2 linked regions of the Oryctolagus cuniculus genome follow. The protein of the gene in region 1 interacts with the protein of each later gene in a biochemical or structural test. Links are inferred from orthologs where the notes say so. Each region holds a gene or a part of one and is shown in the gene's direction. Other genes may lie near its edges.

The links.
Region 2: the proteins of SMURF1 (region 1) and RHOB form a complex in vitro, tested with the Homo sapiens proteins (2 studies listed by BioGRID and IntAct, with this or other methods). The link is inferred for Oryctolagus cuniculus from reciprocal best matches to the Homo sapiens genes SMURF1 and RHOB.

What each region holds. Positions count from the first base shown.
Region 1 is NC_091450.1:41,308,291-41,314,793, reverse strand, and holds part of SMURF1 (E3 ubiquitin-protein ligase SMURF1), read left to right. Parts: intron 1-160; coding exon 161-238; intron 239-942; coding exon 943-1,089; intron 1,090-1,795; coding exon 1,796-1,994; intron 1,995-3,007; coding exon 3,008-3,111; intron 3,112-6,337; coding exon 6,338-6,452; intron 6,453-6,503. UniProt on the Homo sapiens protein: E3 ubiquitin-protein ligase that acts as a negative regulator of BMP signaling pathway. Mediates ubiquitination and degradation of SMAD1 and SMAD5, 2 receptor-regulated SMADs specific for the BMP pathway.
Region 2 is NC_091433.1:182,131,733-182,138,683, reverse strand, and holds RHOB (rho-related GTP-binding protein RhoB), read left to right. Parts: upstream 1-2,100; 5' UTR 2,101-2,468; coding exon 2,469-3,059; 3' UTR 3,060-4,471; downstream 4,472-6,951. UniProt on the Homo sapiens protein: Mediates apoptosis in neoplastically transformed cells after DNA damage. Not essential for development but affects cell adhesion and growth factor signaling in transformed cells. Plays a negative role in tumorigenesis as deletion causes tumor formation.

The sequences.
Region 1 (6,503 bases):
GACGCCACGTGTGGAAGTTGATTGCCTGGTGGATCGTGACGGTCTCTCTGCTTTTCTTGTTGTAATGTGCATAAAGTTTTCCGTAATAATGAGTTGCGAAGGAAGTGTACAGACGCTGTGACCCTTTCTCTCTTCTACTTTACTGTCCCTATCGCCTCAGTCCCTTGGGGACCATTCCTGGGGGAGATGAAGCTTTTCTATACGAGTTCCTTCTCCAAGGCCATACAGCTGAGCCCAGGTCAGAGAGACCCCCGCCCCACCCTGTAACGGAGTTAAGTTTCTTTTCGCTTTGCTTTGCTTTCCTCTCCTTTATTTTGTTTTCTTCCTAGACTAGCATCACTACTTAATACGATTTCTATTCATGATTTGTTCCATCTGAGAGTACGCTTCCTGTCTGTGATTTTGCAAGTCTATGTTGAGTTTATGATTCAGTGTCTCTAATCAGCGTGGACGCATTACACCTGCAGTGAATGACCGAGGTGTTTTAGACCCCCCTGTAGGGAACGGGCAGGCTTTGGGGCTACTGGAAAAGCGTCGTGGTCGGTAACGCCACGCTCCCCTCGGCCTGGGGGTCGCAGTGAAATTACCGGTCCCAGGCTTGGCAGGAGAAAACAGTCGCTTGACAGGAAGGCAACTCCGAGAGGAGGGCGCCTGGCGCGGGTGCGGCCGGCGGAGCTGTGCGCGCTGCCCCGCGGTCAGCCCCCAGGAGCGCTCAGCGAGGAAGCCTCCGGCCCCGGGCGTGGCGCTGCACCCGAGAATGCAGGCGTTTTCCCACCGTTCTGAGAGTCTGACCCCTGGGGAGGCCCTGTTCCCTGCCATCGCTGTCTGTTGGGTGTTGCCGCGGTCCGTGGCACCCAGGCCCGGACCCTGGGCCTCGCCGGGGCCCTTGGTGGCTCCCGGCGCCGCAGCTGGACGCACCTGTCTGTGTCTTCGTCCCCATAGAGACCTCAACAGCGTGAACTGTGATGAGCTCGGCCCGCTGCCCCCCGGCTGGGAAGTCAGGAGCACGGTTTCGGGCAGGATCTACTTCGTCGACCACAATAACCGCACCACGCAGTTCACGGACCCGAGGCTGCACCACATCATGAAGTAAGCCTGCCCGAGCGGCCGCCGCGCCCGCGGAGCCCCTGGGTTGTACCCATCGTCCCTGGGTGACGCGGGCCTGGGCACGGCCGTGGGCCCGCGGTCGGTGTTCTCCAAACGGAGCTTCCCACGGGCTCCTGTCGCTGAGCTCCCGTGAGCGGCGAGGCCTGAACCAGACAGACGCCCCCTGTCACCTGCTCGTGCTCGTCCCTGTATCCTGTGGAAGTCTGGGTGTTCAGGCACAGGCTCGGAGCCTCTCGGGGATCAGGACGCGGGGTGGCTGCCGGTAGACGGCGCTCGGCCATGGGCTCTGAGCGTGCCACCTCCCTCCGCCGTTCATGAACTCTAGAGTTTCCCATCAGCCCTGCGCCACACTCATGCCCAAGGCGGGGCCTGCCGGGTGCAGGACGGGCCCTGGCCGGTTTCCCCGTTCATCTGTGGTCCTAACGGACGGGCCCTGGCCGGTTTCCCCGTTCATCTGTGCAGGACGGGCCCTGGCCGGTTTCCCCGTTCATCTGTGGTCCTAACTGACGGGTGCAGCGAGTGGGCATCCCCGTGACCGTGCCCTCCGCGACTTGCCTTAGGCTGATGGTGGCCGGCAGCCGTGCCGGCCCATGTAGAGAAGCGAGGTGGTGGGTGACAGGCTCGCCCCCGGCGCTGTGGCGGGCAGGGCGCTGCTGCTTGTGGGTGACCTGGCCACTCCCCTCCGCAGTCACCAGTGCCGGCTGAAGGAGCCCAGCCAGCCCCTGCCCTTGCCCAGCGAAGGCTCGGTGGAGGACGAGGAGCTCCCTGCCCAGAGGTACGAACGCGACCTCGTCCAGAAGCTCAAAGTCCTCAGGCACGAGCTGTCGCTGCAGCAGCCGCAGGCCGGCCACTGCCGCATCGAGGTTTCCCGAGAAGAAATATTTGAGGTACGGGCTTGCGTGTGACTGCCGGTCAGGTGGAGCTGCGGAGCCCCGGGAAGCCCTGGGCTGGTGGGCGTGCCCCCCCAACCCCCGGGGGGGCAGGGCCAAGGCCTGTGGGGAGAGGCGGGGCTGCACGTGCTCTCAAGGCAGAGCCGAGCACGCGATGGTCTCGGGGCGCCCCTGCTCGGCACGGCGACTGGTGGGTGCTCCCGCAGTCCTCCCGTGCGTGCAGCGCTCAGGGCCCCCCAGGCGGGCTCTCCTCTCAGAAAAAAGGGGAGCAGATCGGGCCGTGCCCTGCCCCCCTGGTGGGGGCCCTGGCAGAGGTCACGGAAGGGCTGGCCCGCAGAGTCGGGGGAGGGCGTGGACCAGACAAGGCGCCCGGTTTGGCACGTGGAGCAGACGTGGATGGCTGCCAGGGATAGCAAGGCGCTGAGCGATCGGCACTGTGCTGCCAGGTCCCTTCTCCTCGTCCCTTCGGCCTCCTCGTGGTGGCATTGGGACTGCGTCAGGTTAAGCGTCAATCAGGGGGAGGTGCGTTCTTCCTGAACTCTGCAGACGTCCCGGGGGGCGCCGGCTGGCGGGTGCTGGCCGTGCCTGGGGCGGGCTGCTGTCTCTCCCTGAAGCCTGCTTTCCCTGTGCCACTGGGCAAGTGGGGGAGTCTTTCCCGTCACCTACGAAAGCAGGCCCCGGGCTCCCTACATTCAGACTTGAATGAGACATAAATTGTTGGGGAAGAGCATTGGGATCAGTTTGTGTCGAGAAAGCCGGCTCCAGGGACCACGGTCGTCCTCAGTCCTCGGTGACCGTGCCGAAGGCAGCGTCGGTCTCCGCGAGGCCTGCTGCCACCTGCTGCCTGACACCGGCTTTGTCTTGCTGTCACCTCTGTGGGGGCAGGGCTGCTGGCTGTCCTAGAAGCCGCGTGAACACAGGACCCACTAGAGCTTCCCTGGACGGGGCCCCGTACCCAGAGCTGTGAGCCCCGCGCCCGCCGGCCTCTGAGACTGTCCCCTCTCACGTAGGAGTCTTACCGCCAGATAATGAAGATGCGCCCGAAGGACTTGAAGAAGCGGCTGATGGTGAAGTTCCGTGGGGAGGAGGGCCTGGATTACGGCGGCGTGGCGAGGTGAGGCGGGGCCTGCGCGGCTGGCAGCGTGCCTCAGGCAGGTGGGGTGCCCCCTCTTCCGGAGCGCCCCCGGGCCTCCGCACTTTCCTGCAGTCAGACTTCCAGAGAGCAGGTGCACGGCGGCATCAGGACACGCTTCCTGTCGAGCTAGAACTCAACTTGGAAGCCCAGCGCCTTGTCCTGTCGTGTCTGAGCCTGAGACGGATGGACCTGCTCCCGAAGTTCATGTGCCAGGCGCCTGTGTTTGCTCCTGAGAGGATTTCCCAGGGGGCAAAGCGGGCGGCGGGGGGGGGGGTGGACATTACGATTGTGTCGAAGGAATTTGGTAAAGTGAGGATTGGACGTTTTGTCAGGATATGTCAGGCAAACGATTGACCGAGTAGCAGAGAACAGAACCAACAGCAGTTCCCAGGTCCTGTCCTGCCCCTGTCCGCCGGCCAGCACCTGCCTGAAGCGTGCTGGTCCCTCAGGCGCCGATGGCCCGAGAGACGGTGTAGCGCGGATTTGACTTAGTTGTCTGGCCCCCAGTTTCGAAGTGCCAGCGTTGGCAGCGTCTCTGCGGCCTGAGGCAGCGTGCCAGCGCCCTTGGTTTTCTGTCTGTCGCCGAGACACCTTCCTGACCCCCCTTTTCCCAAGAGGACCTCCGTGCTCCTCGTTCTCCGCCCGGCATTCGGTGCCGCAGCCTCGCCCGTTCATCTTGCTCAGCCGAGAGACGGGGCGCTATGGCGTGCTTGCCAGTGTGGACACTTGGACGTTCCCGAGTTTCCTTCTTCCCTTACGCGAGGCTTCATTTTTTAAAAAATCCTTTATTCCTCTCATCTTTTCTCTTATTTCCTGTCTCTCTGCTTTTATTCCCCCCTTCTACTTTCTGAGAGTTACAGAGAGTTAGAGACAGAGAGAGGTCTTCTGTCGGCTGGTTCACTCCCCAGATGACCGCAACAGCCGGAGCTGTGCCGATCTGAAGCCAGGAGCTTCTTTTGGGTCTCCTACGTGGGTGCAGGGGCCCAAGGACTTGGGGGCATCTTTCCACTGCTTTCCCAGGCCATAGCAGAAAGCTGGATCGGAAGTGGAGCAGCCGGGACTAGAACCGGCACCCGTATGGGATGCCAGCACTACAGGTGGCGGCTTTATCCACTAGGCTACAGCGCCAGCCCCGAGAGCACCCTTATGCTCTATTTGCCCCATGGAAATTGTATTCATTCATTCATTCATTAACCAGTGAATACTTACTGATGCTGGACCTTGGCTGAGGCATACAACAGTGAGCAAAGTAACCCTGCCGTTCGTTGACTCCAGAAACCATGCCTCTCTTTGACCAGCTGGAACTTGGGTTCAGCCTTGCTAACACCGCTCCGGTCTCCTCGCCCTGGGTGTGGGTTTCTGTGTCCGTGTTCTCAGGTGAGCGGCTTCCCACCCGGTCATCGTGTCTGTCCTAGCCGCCCACACCCAGCTGCTTCCGAGTTCGGCTCTAGGACCGTGTAGAAGCTGGAGGTGTCTCAGGGGCTCAGTGTCTCCACTTCTTTCAGTTTCCTGCCGGTGTGAGGTGTGCCCGGGCACCCCTGGGAGCAGCAAGGCTGGCTGGGCACGGCTCCACGCCTCCTGCGCGTCCGTGGCAGGTGCTCCGTGACCAGAGTCTGCACGGTGCTGTCCTGGCCGTGCCGCCGCCTGCGGTGTGCCCTTACCATGTTGCCTCAGCCCGCAAGCTCCTGGTGTCTGGCTGGGGTTGTGCCTGCCCCAGAGAACTGCAGAGGCGTTCAGATGACCTTGTCCAAACAGCGTGGGGAAATGGGGTGAAAGGACGTTTATTTTGGTGCAAGAGCTTCTGAAATCCGTTCATGTTTCATAATGCTGATTTCACGTAAACTCTCAGGACCCCCGCCCATCTTGCACGTTTATGTGCGCACTGATTATCTGCCATGAGAATCGGTGCACGCTGACTTCCTGGAGGGGTTGAGGTCATGGCCGTCCGCTCTTTCTCCTGTTCCGCGTCCGGGACACGTGGAAATGCACCTGTGCCCACCCACGGCTCAGTCGGGGCATGTGTGCTTCGTTCTCCTCACTTCCTGTCTACACAGCTGTGGAGCCTTGGCTTTTTCCGCAAAAGCTTCTTCTTCTCAAGTCGAAATCCCCAAACCCAGGGGGTGACTCAAAACACAGGCGCTGAGCCGTTGTGTCTGCCGCTCGCTGCGCAGGGCTCGCGGTCTCCGCCCTCCGGGGATTGGGGGTGGGGTCCACTGGGATGCGTGCCTTCGCGCAGGCTCCTTGGGCGACTGCATTCGTGCTGGTCCTGTCTCATTCTGTTGGACAGAGTAAGAAATGGTGCAGTAACCCCAGGGCTGCTGTCGGAATGCGGTCGATCCGTCTGACAGGAGCTGGTCGCAGAGCTGCCCCCGGTGTCCCTTGAACTTGGCCTTGGCACGGCTGGACCACAGCAGCTGAACCCCGTCATTGCACTTCTCACTTTGATTTATTTTTAATTTTGCAGGGTTATCTTTTAAAATATTGAAAAGATTCAAGCATGAAAAGAATTTAGAAAATGACTCGTACCTATGTACCCCATCCAGATTTCGAAACTTTGAGAATTAATGTTTTTAAGTTATGAAAGTGATAAATGTTTATTAAGAAGTTAACATGACTAGGATGAGCAGAAATTGCCCTTCAGCCGTCCTTCCTGTACTTCCCCAGACTTGAATGCGTTTCGAAGTTCACTGTAGGGAAGGAAGACTTGTTCGAGAGGCGGGTAGGGAGACCGAGAAGGGCTCAGATCCGCCATCCGCCATCCTGGAATGCCTGCAGCAGTTAGGGCTGCGCCAGGCTGAAGTCCAGGGCTTGGAACACAGTGTGAGTGACAGGGACCCCGGGACTTGGGTCCCTGCTGCCTCCCAGGAGGCTGGATTGGGCCTCCGATGGGGGTGTGGGCATCTCGGCCACTGGCCCAGACGCTTGCCCCTCACTGCAGACTTAAGATCTAGAGATAAGTAGGAGAAAGCATGGGGAGGGCCCAGAGCGCCACCCCCTAGCTAACCACTGCCGCGGTCTCGTGCTGCACTGCTGTGGGCTCCTAGCGTGCTGCTGACCGCGTCGCCGGGAGTGTGGCTTTGCAGTGTTCAGAGAACACCCGTGGCAGGGGAGGCTCGGGTGTTGGCGAGTGCTTCCTGGGCCCCTCCTGCATGCCATGGGTCCCCCAGACGCGTGTGTCCAGCTCCCTGCTGTGTTCTCTCCCCAGGGAGTGGCTTTACTTGCTGTGCCACGAGATGCTGAACCCCTACTACGGGCTCTTCCAGTACTCCACGGACAACAGCTACATGCTGCAGATCAACCCCGACTCCTCCATCAACCCCGTGAGTGGCGGGCGGCTTGGGGAGTCTCCCCTCCTGGGCGTGGTGTCAGGA
Region 2 (6,951 bases), on another chromosome or scaffold:
TGTGATTCCGAGACTCAAGATTGGAACAACTCCTATGTCTGGAAATCAGGAAATCAGTGAATTTAACCCCTCTTCCTGATTCTTTGTATTTGAGGTTTTTTTTTTTTATCTTTGTTTTATATTTTCCTAATATTTGAAGTTAAAGGACATAGCCAAGATTCCCAAGCTATATTAAGACCAAGGAAAGCAATGTTAACAATACAGCTATAAAAAGTTTTGACTAAAAGAAGAAAAATCTGTGTAGATAAGATTTTCCTAATAGCCTAACTTTAAAAAAAAAAAAAAGTTTCCAGACTGGAGTCTTATACCAAAGATCAAAACAACCTATTTATTTCCTGGCCAATCGGTTCCTTAGGCTTAAAAAACAAGGCAAGGGGCGTAAGTGGGTAAAGCTGCCACCTGCAGTGCCGGCATTCCATATGGGCGCCAGTTCAAGTCCTGGCTGCTCCATTTCCGATCCAGCTCTCTGTTATGGCCTGGGAACACAGTAGAAGCTAGCCCAGGTCCTGGGGGCTCCTGCATCCCCCTAGGAGACCTGTAAGAAGCTCCTGGCTCCTGGCTTTGGATCAGCCCAGTGCTGGCCATTGCAGCCATCTGGGGAGTGAACCAGTGGATGCAAAACCTCTTTCTCTTTCTCTGCTTCTGCCTCTCTGTAACTCTGCCTTTCAAACAAATCAATCAATCTTAAAAAAAAAAAAAAAAGACAAAATTCCTCTCTCTAACAACAACAACAAAAATAATTTGGGCGCTGTAAAAAAGTGGAGCTGGTGTGGGGAACATGCAGCCCTTCTGATGGTTCAACCGATGCGGGCCAGGATGGGCCCTAGAGGGTAACAGCCACTAGGTTGACCTGTGAGTGGCACTGAAACCACAGGCTCCCTCTCAGCTGCCTGCGTGGGTTCGCCTGGGTGACTGTTAGAGTGGATCTGGAGCTGAGGTAAGAGCCCCCCAGAAAATCCCCACTGAGCTCCTGAACAAGCGGGTCGATCCTCCAGTCACCTGCTGGCTGGGTCCGGAGGACGCTGGCGCCCCCACCAAACCACAATCCAGAGGCAGACAGACAATGGGGCAGTGAGCTCGCCGTGATGGGCAGGTCTCCCTTCGGGTTTCCAGACCAGAGGTGAGGGCCACGTCCCGCAGGGTCCCCGGGGCAGCTGCCTGCAGCCCTGCTGGTTTGGGGCGATGGACCCCCAGCGCGCGCTCACTCGCACCTGCGAGCCCTGGGCCCCTGCCCCACCGTTCGCCGGCTCAGTGGGGTTTAGGGGGCCAGATTCTATTGCACTCTTCGTTCGGACACGGCTCTGCCTTAACAAACGGATCCGAAAGAACCACGCAGAGTTTCGGCCAAATACCCCGGCCTGCCCCTTCCCATTCATCGAACCAGCGCTCGCCCACTCGGTCTCCTTTCCCTCACCTTCGCCCGGCGACCCGAGCTGGGGGGTCCTGAAAGAGGAGGGCAGGGGCTTGCAAGGGCCGGGAGGCTCGGCCCAGGCCCACCCAGGTTGCAGTGGGCGCCTCACGCCAGGGGCTCAATCCCAGGGCAAGGGCGCCCCGGGAGGCCCGAGCACAGAGCGGCCGGCTCCAAAAGGGCGAAGAAGAAACCTTTCAGTTTGGAAACAAAAGTGCGTGTGTGGCCGTGCGTGTGCGTGTGTGTGTGGTTGTTTACTTACAAACAAAACCACGTTACGGGAGCCGCCCCTCCCCCGCCCCAGGTCCGACCACCCGCGGGGGGTTGGCCAGAAAGCCCCGCGATTCTGCTCTAAAAGGAGGCGCCGACCCCCCACTCCAAAGTGCCGCCCCGTCTCGGAACCCGCGGGCCCAGACCCCGCGGGCTCTAGGCAGCCAGCCCTCGGGCCACGACGAAGGCGGGGAGCCGGGGCCGCCGCGGCCCCGCAGCGCCGGCGGCCGCGCAGACTCCACGGTCGCCGCCTCTCCCAGCCCCGCGGCCAGGGCCGTCAATCAAGCCCGTGCGGCCCCGCCTTCGGGCTGCAGCAGGCGGCCAATCAGAGCCAAGCTCCGCAGCGATGAGCTCAGCCGGCTCGCTTCCTATTGGGCGGCTATATTAAGAAAGTGGCCGGACTCTTTAAATAGCAGGCGCTAGGGCCGCAGCCCGCATCTGCCACCGCAGTCTGGCTGGAGTCGTCGGCGCCCTGGTACGCGCGGCCCGGGACCCGGGAGGGGGAGCGGGACCGACCGCAGCCCGAGCCCTTGTGGCGCACAAAGCCGCCGACCCCGGCCCGGGGCGTGAGCCGCGGCCGCAGTCCGCGAGCAGCGCGGCGCGCCCTATGCACCCGCGCCCCCGCCGCGGCAGCCTGAGCGCCCGGAGAGAACGCGCCACCGCGGGGCCTGGGTGCAGCTAGCGACCCTCGCCCCCCAGCGCGCCGCCGGAGGTGAGCAGTGAGCGAAGCGAGCGGGACGGCAGCGAGGCGCTCGCGGGCCCCCTCCTGCTGCCCGGGCCCGGCCGGCTCATGGCGGCCATCCGCAAGAAGCTGGTGGTGGTGGGCGACGGCGCGTGCGGCAAGACGTGCCTGCTGATCGTGTTCAGCAAGGACGAGTTCCCCGAGGTGTACGTGCCCACCGTCTTCGAGAACTATGTGGCCGACATCGAGGTGGACGGCAAGCAGGTGGAGCTGGCGCTGTGGGACACAGCGGGCCAGGAGGACTACGACCGCCTGCGGCCGCTCTCCTACCCGGACACCGACGTCATCCTCATGTGCTTCTCGGTGGACAGCCCGGACTCGCTGGAGAACATCCCCGAGAAGTGGGTGCCGGAGGTGAAACACTTTTGCCCCAACGTGCCCATCATCCTGGTGGCCAACAAGAAGGACCTGCGCAGCGACGAGCACGTCCGCACAGAGCTGGCGCGCATGAAGCAGGAGCCCGTGCGCACGGACGACGGCCGCGCCATGGCCGTGCGCATCCAAGCCTACGACTACCTCGAGTGCTCCGCCAAGACCAAGGAGGGCGTGCGCGAGGTCTTCGAGACGGCCACGCGCGCCGCGCTCCAGAAGCGCTACGGCTCGCAGAACGGCTGCATCAACTGCTGCAAGGTGCTATGAGAGGCCGCGCCCGCCCGTCTGCCCCCGCCTGCGCGGCGCCCCCTCCCGGGCCGGTCCCCCAGCCAGCCGTGGGGAGGGGAGGCCCACGCCCCTGCAAGGACCCCACCAGACTGCCTGGCGTCTGCGGGCGGCTCTGGCTCTCGCGCCGAGAAGCGCGTGGGCACCGGGCGCCCCCTTCCCAGTGTCTGCGTGCGTCCAGCTGTGTGGCACAGGCCCGGGCGCCCCCGCTGAGTGCCAAGGGTCCCCTGGACATCCTGTTCTGAGGATCAGAGCCTCAGAGCGTGTGACTGCGTGTACGTTCTACTGCCCCCTCGCTCACATTGTCACACCACCCCCGCCTCGGGTCCCCCCGGGGTGGGGGTGGGGGCCGGGGCCGCGCCCCATCGGATGTTAGCCCGTAACCCGCGAGCGCCTGCTATCCCTTGTTTGTAACATAGACCCCGGGAATTGCGGGAGGGAGGGCTGGGGAGGAGGAGGGGGGTGTTCTATAAATACAGATATAATTTTATTTTCGGAGGTAAGATGGTGTTATTTAATGGTCGTGGTGGGTGGAGTGACCAGGGCGTTAGAACAGCTCTGGCCCCGGGCTGGGTCAGGCGCCCATCCAAGCATGACCAGGACTTGGCCATCTTTCTGAGCCCTGGGGAAGACATTTGCAACTGACTTGGGGCTGAAGGGACACAGCTTTTAGAAGCAGCAGGTGCTGCCAGCCCCCAGCGAACCTCTCTCCAGCAGGAGGAGGGGCGGGGCGTGTGCTGGGGGCCTTGTTGTTGCCATAAGCGAACTCTGTGCCTGACAAGTGAAAACTGTTCAGTCCAAGAAACGGATGTTTTTTTGATTTATTTAAAAGCTGAAACTTTTTTTTTTTTTGGAAAGAATTCTTTGCACAGTTGTTTCATTGTTTGACACTTAATGCACTTGTCATTTGCATAAGGCAGTAGCATTCTGTATGCTGTAACCTCATCTACTTTGGATTTATTTTTTTTGAATGATGATTTTGAAAACAAGGAAAAGAAAAAGAATTTACTAATTTTTCCTTGGTTTTCTCGAGAAAAGTGGCACCACTGTTTTGAGATTTTATTTGTGCAGGTCATGCACACTGTTTTGATAAGGGACAGTAACCCGTGTTGGGGCCTATTGAGAACTTTTTTGTTTTCCCTGCAAGGCAGCCTCTGCAGCTATGTGAAGTTTTCTCTGCTTCTCTGTACAGAGAATAAACCTGCCCGTTTCTCCCCTCCCTCTTCCTGCCCAGTGGTACTTCTACTAAACTGTTGTCTTGTTTTTTTATTTTTCCAATAAACTGACAAATGACAAAGTGGTGAGCTTATGATGTTTACATAAAAGTTCTATAAGCTGTGTATACAGTTTTTTATGTAAAATATTAAAAGACTATGATGATGACATTTATAAAATGGCTCTTGTGGTTTAATGCTCTGTAGTAAGGTATCCTTGTGCACGTGGGACAAGGGGAGAGACCCTTTCTGGGCAGTGACTGTCATAGCGGAGGGCGAAGGTCTGGGGGGCTCTGCGGGTTGGGTCATCAAGGGAGACCAGGTTGTTGGCTGTCACAACCCCAGAGGAAGACAAGCCGCTCACTCATGGCCCAGAGCAAAAACTTCAGCCTGATTAGGCGAGGCCAAAGGTCTTGGTTTTGTCTCTGTCTTAAAACCACTGTGACTATTGTGGACTTGGCTTCTTTTAGACTTGAGAAGCTGTCACTTGCGTGTTTTCAGTTTAGGTAACATTTCTGGGGCTGGTTGCCTGGGCTCCTTCCCATCCTCCAGGTCTGCACACCACCCTGTACAGTGGCAGGTTGCTCTGCCTGGGGCTGGAGCTCCAGGGGCTCTCCTGGGGAGGGTTCTCTTCCGATGGAACTTCCCTGGGAAGGTGCCACAATGAGAGCCTGCCCTTCTCTGAGAAGGGCCGGTTGCAGACAGAGGGCTGGATGTGGTGGTGGTGGTGGGCGGTGGGAGTTATTTCAAGTTGGAGCAGCTCCGCTTTGGGAACCAATTAGGATGAGCTCTAATTTCAGACCCTGAGCCTTGCTGCAGTGGTTCTCCGAACCAGACAGGCCGATTTGTTCTTGGAGACCACACGAAAATCCCGCTGCAGGCGGGAGGACTCAAACCTGCCGGCGCAGAGGAAGGTGGTGCCAGCCTCCCCCACCTGCCTCCCAAGCGTGGCTCTGTCTGAATCGGCATTTTCCACGTCTCCGCGCTCTGTTGCCACCCTCTCCTCTCCCACACCCAGGGCCAAGGCAGTGGAGGTCCCTCTTGAAGTTGTTTGCTTCAAGGCTGAGGCTCGTTTCCCCTCTCCCCTGCGATTTCCAAGAGCTTTTGTTGAGTGAAGAAAACCTGGTTGTTGGTGGTGACCTTTCACCCACTTAACACAGGCTGAAACAGGCCTGCTCCACTGGGTGGGTGCAGGGCCAACAGAGGGGGATTGTTTGGACTCCTCCAGGAGCCACTCCTTCCTCGGCCCATGGCTCCACTCACCTCCATCCCATAACCTACTTTAAAACAAAACTTCCCATTGAAAGACAATGTTTATTTGCAAGTTTTTACAGCCAGCAAATCCTTTGGTACCAGGGAGTGCAGGGATGGGTAGGGGAGTGCTCAGGCCTGGGCTGAGTGCCCAGCACTCGGCTCTGCAAGCAGCCAAGAGCCTGGAGACTTGCCCCCCCACCCCCACCCCCAGAGGGCCTTTCTGGGTTTCCCGCCTGTCCCATCTGCCTGCTACCTAAAGAGTTCTGCTTTTATATTTTGGGGAGACAACCACCCGGAAGAAGTAGAGCAGCCTGGTGGGGCCTGTTTTAACTGCGTGCCATTTAAAAACCCTGCGGAACATACTCTTCTTGCTGTGTTAGGGCCCAAGTGGAAAACAAAAAAACCAAGTTGCTCTAGGCTGGAAAATCAATTAGGGGGGGAAAAAAAGGTAAAACATCTGGTGTGACTCTTAGAATATGAAAATTCATTTTGCACATTTAAAAGAAATGTGCTGAGTTCATTTAATTGCCTGTTGAAACGATTCATGGAAAATAGTGGGAAGTTTCATTGATCCTGGGTGTTTTATAGCAAGGGGCGTTGTCTCGGGTTTTCCTTTAATCTCGATCTCAAATCAGTCTGGATTGCATTTCTGAGGTCTTTTTCCCATGTGTTTCGGTAGACTGAGAAAGGATGCTTTATACGTAAGTGTGACCAGAATCCTGCTAGGGCTGGTCACAGCGCGGATTGCTGGGCCTGGCCTTGGCGGAGTTTCTGATGCAGTAGGTCCAGGCTGAGGGTTCGGGAATTTGAATTTCTAGCAGGGCCCTGCATGACGCTGATGCTGCTGGCTTGGGGGCCCGCACTGTGAGAAGCAGCGACTCGGACAGAGGGAGAGTCCCCGTCGGTGCACACAGGAGGGAGAGGGTGTCTATGTCAACGCGGCTCTCCCGACAGCGACAGCGTTGCAGCCAGCAGCTCTGGCTTCCTCAACCCTCAGGGGATACAGACTTTCCCAGAGCTTTCCTTCCAGGCTACACCACACAGACTCTGTCTTCTCACCCTGCATGCTTCTGCCAAAAGGCACTTGATTCCCTTCTAGAAATTTCTCTTCGCCATTTGTGAATTCAGAATGCAGCAGCACCCTGTAATTCAGCTGGCCTTGGCCCGTGCTTCATCAGCTCTGATGAGGAAAGAAGAAAAAAAGCAGCGAGAAGCAGTCCTTGCCCTCGTGAGCCACTTCACTGGTGGGCCAGGCAGTTGCAGGAATGCGTTCCCCAGGAGCAGGCCAGGGCCAGCGATGGGCGATGGGCGCCCTAGGCGGAGGCGCCCCTGTTGGAGGAGGGGACATCGGATCTGAGTCTTAAAGGAGAAGTGTCTGACGTGCAGATGGTGGAAATCTCAGGGCA